Linked DNA regions of Rattus norvegicus. The protein of the gene in region 2 interacts with the protein of the main gene of each other region in a pairwise test. Links are inferred from orthologs where the notes say so. Each region holds a gene or a part of one and is shown on either strand. Other genes may lie near its edges.

The links.
Region 1: the proteins of Arl3 (region 2) and Arl2bp interact in binary tests that used the Homo sapiens proteins (3 or more experiments, as listed by UniProt). The link is inferred for Rattus norvegicus from reciprocal best matches to the Homo sapiens genes ARL3 and ARL2BP.
Region 3: the proteins of Arl3 (region 2) and Pde6d interact in binary tests that used the Homo sapiens proteins (3 or more experiments, as listed by UniProt). The link is inferred for Rattus norvegicus from reciprocal best matches to the Homo sapiens genes ARL3 and PDE6D.

The regions. Positions count from the first base shown.
Region 1 is NC_086037.1:10,345,938-10,349,437, forward strand, and holds part of Arl2bp (ADP-ribosylation factor-like protein 2-binding protein), read right to left. Parts: intron 1,229-3,500; exon of another isoform or gene 1,185-1,228; coding exon 1,078-1,184; intron 1-1,077. UniProt on the Homo sapiens protein: Together with ARL2, plays a role in the nuclear translocation, retention and transcriptional activity of STAT3. May play a role as an effector of ARL2.
Region 2 is NC_086019.1:255,385,288-255,389,395, forward strand, and holds the start of Arl3 (ADP-ribosylation factor-like protein 3), read right to left. Parts: upstream 2,801-4,108; 5' UTR 2,793-2,800; coding exon 2,790-2,792; intron 2,302-2,789; exon of another isoform or gene 2,234-2,301; coding exon of another isoform or gene 2,219-2,233; intron 1-2,218. UniProt on the Homo sapiens protein: Small GTP-binding protein which cycles between an inactive GDP-bound and an active GTP-bound form, and the rate of cycling is regulated by guanine nucleotide exchange factors (GEF) and GTPase-activating proteins (GAP).
Region 3 is NC_086027.1:94,640,919-94,644,418, forward strand, and holds the end of Pde6d (retinal rod rhodopsin-sensitive cGMP 3',5'-cyclic phosphodiesterase subunit delta), read right to left. Parts: intron 3,415-3,500; coding exon 3,289-3,414; intron 2,414-3,288; coding exon 2,308-2,413; intron 590-2,307; coding exon 508-589; 3' UTR 14-507; downstream 1-13. UniProt on the Homo sapiens protein: Promotes the release of prenylated target proteins from cellular membranes. Modulates the activity of prenylated or palmitoylated Ras family members by regulating their subcellular location.

The DNA.
Region 1 (3,500 bases), on a different chromosome or scaffold from region 2:
GACAGGGAGGTGGGCCCTCTGGTCATTAGCCGAGGTCCTGTGGTGTGTGCGCGTGCGCACACACACATGCTTGCACATACACCATGAGTGCAGATGGCTGCAGAGGCCAGAAGGGGGTGTTGGATCCTCTGGAGCTAGATTTATAGGGGGCTGAGAGTCACTGGATGTAGGTGCTGAGCCGCTCTGCAGTCCTCTGGGAGCCATCTGCCCAGCCCCGTGTTTTTATTTGATTTATCATTATTGAGGACACGATGTATGTGAGTGGGCATGTATGTGCCACCGTGTGCATGTGGATGTCAAAGGACAACTCCTATGGAACCAGTTCCCTTCCTCATCTTGAGCTTTACCCATTGGCCATCTCACTGGCACTGCTTTGTCACAGCAGACAAATGCAAAGTCTCCCAGTGCAGGACAAGACTGCGGTAAAGGCCGGTTTGTTTTAAACCACAAGCTGTACGCTCACCGACTACTTCATGAAAACCCTTTAGAAAAGAGCCCCAAGGGGCTGGAGAGATGGCTCAGTTGTTAAGAACAATGACTTCTCTTCCAGAGGTCCTGAGTTCAAATCCCGGCAACCACATGGTGGCTCACAATCATCTGTAATGAGATCTGATGCCCTCTTCTGGTGTCTGGAGATAGCTACAGTGTATTTATAATAAATAAATGAATAAATAAATAAATAAATCTTAAAAAAAAAAAAAAGAGTTCTAAGATCTGGCAAGAGAAAATGATCCAAACCAGATTCTAATCTGCATTCCCTTGGCAGTACTGGCATATATAAAGAGTAAACTAATTTCAATTTGTTTTTTTCTTTTTTAAAAGAAATAATCTTGCTAAACGACCTAAGCTAACTTGAAGTTTACGAGGTAGCCTGGGCAGGTTTCTAACTTGTGGCCATACTTCTGCCTCAGCCTCTTGAGTGCTAGTGGCAGGTGGCTACAGGTGCCACCAGGCTTTGCAACTTTTTTGATATGAATGTAAACATTTTAATAGTATATATTAATTATACATAACAGATCTAAGTTCAGATTTTAAGAGAAACTTTAATTTTCTGGCAGGAGAAACAGATCTACTTACATATTCATTAAAAATGGGAGTATAGGTGAGCTTATTCTCTTCAGTGTCTTCAAATTCCTGGTAGTACTTGTCCATGAAGCTTCTCTGCAGTAGCTGGAACTCAGCATCTGGTACAGTTTAGTAAATGCATTTACAATGTAGTAAAATATACCTACAATGTACAGCATAAACCTTTTAAAATAAGCACTTTGCTGGCTTATAAGTCTTTGCGACTATTTTATTTTTAGTTTTTGGGATAGGATCTCCATAAATCCATATGCTTGGTTGACCTGGAATTCACTCTGTAGACCAGGCTAGTGTTGGACTTGTAGCCATCCTTCCGACTCTGAGAGCTGGGGTCACAGCCTGGGCACTCAGGAGGCAGAGGCAGGCTAACCGGAGTATGAAACTAGTCTGGTCTACAGAGCAAAAAAAAACCCAGGGTAGACAGGGTTACATAGAGAAACCTTGTTTCAAACAAAACTGAAAAAAAGCAACAAACAACCCAAACACACCCACATATACACACATACAGGGAGGGGGGAGGGGGAGGGGGAGAAGGGGGGGAGGGGGAGGGAGAGGCCATAATCTATCGGAACAGGATACCTGCAATCCCACAAAGAGTTACCTGGGATCTCTTTAACACACCCATTTACTGTGTACACCAAAGATCAGTTCTCAAATTGGGAGACTACAATGGCAAGAAACCCTGCATCCCTAGTTTTTTTCTCTTTAAATTACATTTTCATTTATTCATTTTTAATGTGCATACGTGCACCTGCTTGGTCATGGCATGAGGCCAGAGGTGGGAGGAAAACCTGTAGGGGGTTCTTTCCTTCTACTGTCCACATACAAGGGCTTGGAACTGAATTCAGGTCGTCAGGCTGGGCAGCAGCACATTACCCACTGAGCCACCTTATTGACCACCCTTTTTAAGCTACATATTTATTTTGAGACAGGGTCTCACTGTGCAGCTGACTGGCCTGAAGCTTGCTATGGAATTTCAGGCTGGCTGGGAATTCAAAGGGCTCCTCCAGCATGTTGGGATTCATGCATGAGCCATGGTACCCATCCAAAGGATGGGCGTAGATTCTTTCCCTCTACCATGTGGGTCTCACAGATTAAACTTGGCCGTTAGGCTTGTGAGCCACCTTGCTGTCCCCCTTCCTCCTATTTTAATATCATTTTAGCAGCACCAGTGAAAACTGCATAGTGGGTTAAAGGGTGGGGTCTGTAAGAGGCCAGACTACCCCGGGTTCAAACCCTTCCTCAGCCATGTACTTTGTATGACCTTGGACAAGTGACTACTTCTGTAGATCCCAATCTTCTCATCTGGAGCATAAAGATGAATGCGGTGTCTGTCCCCTGGCTTGCCAGGTGAATTCAGAGGAGACTTCAGGTAGAAATTCACAGTAAACACTCAAGGTCAAGAAGTAGGGAATTCTGACAATCCTGAGCCAACTAGCATTTCTACAACTAAAAGAAAATCTTCAAAAGTGACCCAGAATTAATTAAGCCCATTTCTCCATGATAGGTGGGATATCTACAGTGGGCAAAACAACGGAGAACTCCTCAGGAGAGGGCTTCTGGAGAGACCTAGGATTGGAGTCAGACTCTATAAAGGTGATTTTTCAGACTAATCTAGGTTAAGCCACACACCTCAAAACAAAACAACAGGTCTTTTTCCAGTTGCTAGGAAAAGCTGAGAAGCTGCCACATTTAGTTTTCATCTTCTGTTTGTCTTCAAATTTGGATTTGTTACTGCCTGCTGACCACTTAGTAGAGTGGGAAGATGCCCAAAGGGATCTGGAAATCAGAACTAAGAAAGCAAGGGAACAGGAGACTATCGTAGCTCACGTCTGCAGTCCTAGAGCTTGGGAGCCTGAGGCCAGAAGGCAAGGAAGAACAAGGCTTGCCCGGACCTTAGACCCTAAACACAAAACTCTCGATACCAAACCAACCGTCAAGACACATCAAGAATATAGTAGTGGCTGGTTTTGTGTATAACTTGACACAAGCTAGAGACATCAGAGAGGAAGGAGCCTCAGTTGAGGAGACGACTCCATGAGATCCAGTTGATCCAAGCTGTATATAGTGATCCATTCCAGGAGAATGGATCTGTCAGTTTGAAGTCATCCTGGTCTACAGAGTAAGTTCCAGGACAGCCAGGGCTACACAGAGAAACCCTGTCTCAAAAGATAACGATAATATCAAAGACAACCCAAAAACTAAACAACAACAATTACAACAAAAGAAAATGAAGAGGGCTAGAGAGCTGGCTCAGTGGTTAAAAGCACTGACTGCTCTTCCAGAGGTCCTGAGTTCAAATCCCAGCAACCACATGGTGGCTCACAACCATCTGTAATGGGATCCGATGCTCTCTTCTGGTGTGTCTGAAGACAGTTAGTGTGCTCATATACATTAAATAAATTATTTAATAAAAA
Region 2 (4,108 bases):
TCCTAGCACCCACACAGCAGTAACCCAGCGCCCAGGGTTCTGGTGTTCTCCTCTGAAGGCGGCAAGTATTATGTGGTGCACACACATACAGGCAGGCAAAAGACAGATCAAATAAAATTAATAAATCCAATAGTTTTTTTAAAAAATTGTTTTGGACTGGAGAGAAGGCTCAGTGGTTAAGAGCACTTGTTGCTTTTACAGAGGACCCAGGTCTTATTCCCAGCCTCTACAAGGTGGCTCACAACTGCCTGTAACTCTAGTTCCAAAGGATTCGAAGCCCTCTCCTAATTTCTGAAGGCATGAGGGATTCATGTGGTATATATATGTACAGGTAGACAAAATATTCAACATAGAAAAAAAAAAAAAGCACTCACTGCTCTTGTAGAGAACTGGAGTTCAGTTCTCAACACCCACACCGTGGCTCAAAACTGACTGTAGCTTCAGTGGATGCAATGCCCTCTTCTGGCCTCCTTGGACACAAGACATGCCTACGGTGTACATACATGTTTGCAGTCAAAACACTAAGATATATATATATATATATATATGTGTGTGTATATATATATATATATTTATCTGTATATACACGGTCAATTTGTTATATACTTAAATACAGTGCCAATTTGCACCTAGAAACACAAGCAGTGGTTCATTTACTGTGACCTATAATTATAAATTAAGCAGTCATAAAATTATGTACTCTACTTAATTGAAAAACTGAAGAAAGTTAGTAAACTGTTTCTCATTTATTTTCTCCTGGTTTGGCATGTGTTTCTTTCTTTTAAGGGGATGGCTGTTGGGGCAGGGTCTCCATCTAGCTGAGGCCGACCTGAAACTGTAGTCCAGGTTGGCCTCTTAACTCATGGTGATCCTCTTAATTTAACATGGAGAGGACTGGGATTACAGGCAGGAGCCACCACACACATCCTGGCAAGGTCTTTTAATTGCAGTTCTAATTATTTCCATTAATTTAAAAATTACCTACTCATTACGAAACAGAGTCTTATGTAGCCCAGGCTGGTCTTGAATTCCTGCTCCTCCTTCTACCTCCCAAGTGCTGAGGTTACAGGGGTTGCAGGGCCCCTTTCTCAAATCTGTTTATTTTCTGTGTAAATATTTATATCTGCACTCATTTGTTAAGACAATCCCAGCCTTTAAATGGGCAGCTCATATGTAAATAATAAAAAGAAAATGCTTGTTAAAATCTGTTTAGCCTGAGGTTAGAAATAACTGTAAATGTAACAAGCATGAAGTGTGATTGACAACCTAAGATTAAATAATTCTACTAAATAATTTGACATTGTAAATTTTTTTGGTCAAAATTTACTCGATCAATAATTATACCAAAACAGATGTGTAATTTAGCCCCTGCCCATCTATGGTTTTACTCAGGACTTCATGCTTGCTAAGCAAACCTCTACCCAGTAAGCTATACCCCTAGTACTAGGCTTAAGTCAACAGAAGCGGCCCCAAATTTTTACAAAAATAATGTGGTGTATGAGAGAAGCAACAGTAACTGGCTCTGAGCTTTAGTAAGCCAACCAACCTGTTCTAAGTGTTTTAAAATCGGGGTTGGGGATTTGGCTCAGCGGTAGAGCGCTTGCCTAGCAAGTGCAAGGTCCTGGGTTCGGTCCCCAGCTCCGAAAAACAAACAAACAAACAAACAAAAAAAAACTAAGTGCTTTAAAATCAAGTTTTCTTTGACTAGCTCTAAAAATATTAATTTCCCCGTAACTTCGTTTTTACTCCATCTACCGCGTATAAAATTAACAAGGAGGGCAGATAGATGTTCAGTAACGCTCATGATGTTCAGTCCCCACATGACGGTTCCCAGACATCCATAACTCCAGCTCCATCAAAGCCCTCTTCTGGCCTCTGCAGGAACCAGGCACACACGTGGTGCACAAACATACACACAGGGTAAACACTGGTACACATGTAAATAAAATAATAATTTAAAAAAAATCAACAAGGAACTGAGTGTCTCCCGTCAAATCTGTCACACACCCTAACTTACACTTTGGAAAGGCCTTAATTATGGCTAACGGAGAACAGGCTTGTTTCAAATTGATGCTCACTCTCTATTTCTCATTTGAGGCGAAGACCATTTGCTTCTATCAACATGGAATAAATACGGAACGAAAAATCGGTCGTCAACAACCATTAGACCTTCGCAGAACTTTCAGCGACTAAGTTGGGACTGCAGGAGCGCACCTACCACAGGGACATTCATCTCCAGCGGTACCTCTTATTGTCCTGGGACTTACTCCCTACACACCTCTCTCACTCAGAGACGCGAGCATCTAGGAAAGGAAAACTAGGTTACAGCTCCCTGGTGCCACGAGGGTGATCTCAAAGACCGTAGCGCTGCGCCTCTCCCACTTTTGGCCGGGTCTCAGATGGACCCCACAGTCCCGAGGCTCCGAGAGGTCGGCTCTGCAGTATGATCTAAGCCTGTGAGCCCGGCCTGATCTCCGCAGTTCCAGAGCCGCCTTCATCCCAGAAAGATGATGGTGCTAGGCTTCATCCCCGCCAGAGAAGCACTAAAGTACCCTCTCCACGCCTCGGATCCATCGCAAACCCCTCCTTTCTCCCTAGGCCTAGGCCTCCCTCCAGGCCCACTTTAGGGGCTCCTCCTTCGCCCCTGAAACCGATCTAGAACCCGAAAGAGCAAGGCGAGCTCCATCCCACGTCCTCCTCCGCTTTAAGAGCAGCGCCCCGCCCTGGGCCTGGGGACAGGAGGGGGGGGTGACTGGTCAGCTCTGAAGGGCCGGGGCCCCCACACTCACCATCCTCAAGCCGAGTCCCTCCTCCTCCTCCTCCTCCTCCTCCTCCTCCGCCTCCTCCTCCTGCCTCCCCCGTTACCAGGGGTAACTGCTGCGGCGCCGCCCCTGACGTCCCTCGCACGCACAGCGAAGGAGCAGAGCAGCGGGATGGGGCGGGGTTCTGCTCCTCTCTACCCAAAGTGCGCAAGCGCGCCAAAGCACCCGCCCATTGCGCAGGCGGTCTCGGGAGTGGCGGGAGGGCGGGGCGAGCTGGCGAGCGGGCCTGCGGGAGGTGCAAAACCGCCCACGTGGCTGGCCGGAGCCTGTGGCCTGTGATTGGTCGGAAAGGTGGGCGTAGGGCGAGGGGGTGGTTCCCGGGCCTAGCCGCGACACTTCAGTTCTGCTTTCCTAGTCAGCTTCGTCTGGTGGCTGTCGCGGGCTGCATCCCCTCTGGGACCAGGTAAGAGTCCTCAAGTGCAAGCCAAAAGCACAGCTACTCCTATTCCCCGCGCCTCCGAAGGGAGCCTGGCTCCCTTCTGTGGTGGCTGCCAGGCACTGCGTGCTGGACTTGCATCTGTAGAAGCCGCGTGGCGGGAGGGACGGACCAGGGCTCCAGTGGATTCCTCTCTTCTGAACCTCGTTGTCTTCGGGTGTCAGGATTTAGGGCTCAGAAGTTGTGGGCTGAGTGTCTATCTCCAGGATAGGTGATTTCTGCTGGGTTGGGGGAGGTCCCCTGAGAGAGGGCGATAGGCAGGTTAGGAACCAGTCCCTAGCATTGAGGTTAGCCGGCATCGGGAGTGTTAAATTGTCTGGGATCCTCTGGATTTTGGTAAAGCCATGTTGGACTGCAAGCGGGACCACTGGAAAGTTACCCTTACCTTTGTGGCAGGTCGGGTTCTTGACACTGGAGTACAACCTGCCGTCGTGGAAATTGCATTCTTCCTAGTGGAATGTTTCTTATACGAGGTTTAATTTCCTTGCAGCCCTAGGTGTAGATGATAGAGTCCGGACTTGAACTAACTTGTAAACCCTTTATTTTATAGTGTTGCTTGTAAACACTGTGGCTCAGGTAGGAATGCCGTTTGCCCTCCAGGACTGAACTCAGGAGGCAGAGATTTGTACTGGGCAGGCAAGCCTTCTCTGCCACTGAGCTACACTACGTCCCTCTCCTCAGAGCTGTTTATATCTGTTAGTAAACAGAGAACTCTTCTAACAGCTGATAGTTTAGGTAGAAGTGGTATCTCTGGATGTCTGCTGATGCACGTGTACCAGTTACCTATCTTTCCGAGCATGTCAAGTACATAGAGCAATTCCTGTCGCAAAGAAAGGGCTACATATTATTA
Region 3 (3,500 bases), on a different chromosome or scaffold from region 2:
GTTGGAAACAGTGGCATGCTAAAGACTGTAGGAATAGTTTAATGCTTTCATTACATTATGTAATAATAATATCATAGTCTATTTTACAAGTTAAAGGTATGAGAATGTATGAAATAGAAGTGGTAGGAAAAAAACTAAATGGGTCAGAAAGGTAAATTTTTTTCAAAACCAGAGGCCAAAGAAAGCCTATAGGGCCCAAGGGAGGAGGCAGGGCAGGTGACAGGCGCAGTGTGGCTCCGAGTACGGGGTTTGTTCCCATGTTTGCACCAGGAAGGAGTTGAGGCTTATTCCCTGCCCTTGGCTGGGGTTGGGAGTTTAGTCTTGTCAGTGACGATGGAGGTTTGGGAGAAAAGCCGACTGGCCGCCTTTCAGAGCTGGCTTCCTGGTGCCACAGGTGGGTTCTGTGTTGAAGGAATCAGCTGGAGTATCAAAATCAAATGTGCAGAGGAACAAGTACAGCTTCCTCCTGCCCCTGTTCCAGATTCTTGGAAGTGCACACAAGTTCTCTCAAACGTAGAAAAGCCTCACTTTGGATGTGCTGACAAGAAGATCATCGTCAAAGAACTTTGTCTCTATGATGACGTTGCCCCTGGGGGAGAGAAGCGAGAGGGTAAAGAAAGTGAGTGCCACAGGCCAAGGCCCCCTGTCCACAGTCAGTGTCCATTTGGGTGCTTTGGGCTGGGCACATGTCCACCTAGAACCTCAGCTTGGGCCATTACAGGCCTTGTCCAGAACCAGGTGTGGTGGTGTACACACATAACCCTCCCCAAGGCCAAGGCAGGAGGGTCTGAGTTCAAGGTTACTCTGTGCTATACAGTGAGTTCTATCTCACAAGGGGAACAAACGTCAGGCACAGTGGTGCACACCGTTAGTCCCAGCACTAGAGAGGAAGAGGCAAGCGAATCTCTGTGATCCCAGGCCAACCTGGTCTATATGGTAAGTTCCAGGCCAGCCAGGGCTGCAAAGTGAGACCCTGTCTCAAAAGAGAACCAGGGGGTTGGGGATTTAGCTCAGTGGTAGAGCACTTGCTTAGCAATCGCAAGGCCCTGGGTTCGGTCCCCAGTTCCGAAAAAAAGAAAAAAAAAAAAAAAAAGAGAACCAAAGCAAGGCAAATACAATTAAAGTATCGTCTATCTGAGTTAGAGTCTTGCAGTGTTAAACTCCTGTTTGTTCTCCTAATGGAGAAAGTCAGAAATAAGAACGTGCCTTTTGTCTCGGCGCACTAATGTCTGCGGCGTGCTCTGCTTACAGATCTCATGGACACCTCTGGCTTGCTTCCTAATGGATGGCTGCAGATCCTGGGCTGACCTCAGGAAGGCAGCCTTTCCTACAACACTGAGTAAGTTGGGTGTGGCCTGCCCTGCAGTACTCTCCTGATTTTGGGTAGTGGCACCCTGCTCTTCCTTTGTGAACAGTCTCTCTTCTAGTGCCTGGGTCAGCTGAGTGACTACCCACAACCCTGCTGAGATGTGAGGTGTCACAGCATTCTAGTCATGCTAATCAGATCCACACCCCCACACCCCCAACATCTCTCCTCAGTTACTCCTTGAGGAAGGCATAATGGATTCTTGCCCTTGTCCATTCCAAGCTGCTTGGGTCTCTGCTTAGTCTAATAGTTCTATTCCCGAGGATTTGATTCTGTTGTTTGAAACCAAAGAGCCTTAAATGAGGCACCTGTACAGTGAGGACGGGGTTTACTTTTCTGGTTATATGGTTATCTCAGTGGCCCATTCTGTTTCCTTTTTCTTTTTCTGGCTGTGCCAGAAACTGAGCGTAGGCCCTGTGCATGCCAGGCAAGAACACTCCCACTGAGCCATAAATGGCAGAGCAGTGCTTCCACTTATTTTTTTTTTTTTTTTTCAGAGCTGGGGACCGAACCCAGGGCCTTGCGCTTGCTAGGCCAGCGCTCTACCACTGAGCCAAATCCCCAACCCAGTGCTTCCACTTATAAAGTGGAATATTGTGGCCACACCTAATCCCTTTGTGGGTTATTGTTTATTTTGTGCCAGTTCCCTTCCACACTGTCTCATTTTTCACCTTCATTATACCCATGAAAGTAAGGCAAGGCAAGATAAGACATTATTGTCCAAGGAGACAAGTAGTCAGAGTGACCTGGAAATTTAAAATGTGGCCTACAGTTTTTGAGGCCGTTACTTTTCACAGGACAGAAGCCAGCGACCTTGACACACCACTGGGTGCTCTTTTACTCATCTTTCTTCCCAGCTCTGCCTGCGAGTGGGACCTGGAGTCCCTGCTGTCTAAAGGCTGTTCTGGGATACACTTTGAAATCTCCTGGGCCTCACTCACGTCAGGACGCTGGCGGGCATCATCTGGGACTCAGGCGCTGCTTCTATCAAGGACTGCCAGGTGTTTGTGGAGTTAGGGATCACAAAGCCAAACTCGAAGAACCACTCTGAAGGGAAGAAGGAAAAGCCAGTGAGCAGGCGCTATCTGTGGGCACGGGGGAACCCCAGGCTGTGTCTCTCTCCATTAATGTGGGCTCTTCCTGTCCAGACCATGACAGGAACCTATCAGATAGCTCCTAAGGCACACAAAAGGACACAGGACATTCACAGCCTATCTTCTGATTTGTGCCACAGAATGGCTTCCTTCCTTCCTTCCTTCCTTCCTTCCTTCCTTCCTTCCTTCCTTCCTTCCTTTCTACAGGGTTTCTCTGTGTAGCCCTGGCTGTCCTGGTACTCACTTGTGGACCAGGGTGGCCTCAAACTCACAGAGATCCACCTCCTTCTACCTCCTGAGTGTTGGGATTAAAGGCGTGCACCACTACACCTAGGGCACACAGGACTGTCTCTTATGGGGTCTAATAGATAAGCATCAGTGAGGAGGACACATAAGCATCATTTTCCTAGGAGTAGCAAGCTCTGCACTAACAGAGGTAGGTCGCTCTACAGTGCCTACATGTTGTTCTCTTACATTTTGAGAATCGAATTCAGAGTCCTTATCAGTAACGACTTCTGATGTATAGGCATGACCTATACTACACTTCATTGTAATTGCTTCTTCCAAGATCACATTGTAACAGCACATTAGGCACGGGCACGGGCACGGGCACGGGCATGGGCACTCGAGCTTCTGGTGTCAGACAGCTCAAAGCCCCCATTGTGTCCAGTTTGTTTTGGTTCGTTTTCACTGGGGTTCCCCAGTGTTGTAGACCTTCTATTAGTAATAAGGTCAGTGTTCTCAGAGCACTGCCCTGCCTGTTGCCCCCCCCCCCTACTCCTACCCCCCTCCTGCACTCCGGCTCCAGGCACTCGAGGAATAGAATACCTTCTAGGCATTGTCCTTTGAAAAAAACTTTTTGTTCAAGGCGGAATTTTTCCATTTGCTCTGCTGAAGAAAAATTCAGTTCTCGAGACACTGCCTTGCACTTGAGAATTTTCTTGGGCACACGGGCTGGGGAGAGAGAGAGAGAGAGAGAGAGAGAGAGAGAGAGAGAGAGAGAGATATCGGGGGAGAGGAGGTCGGGGAGAGAGAGGAGG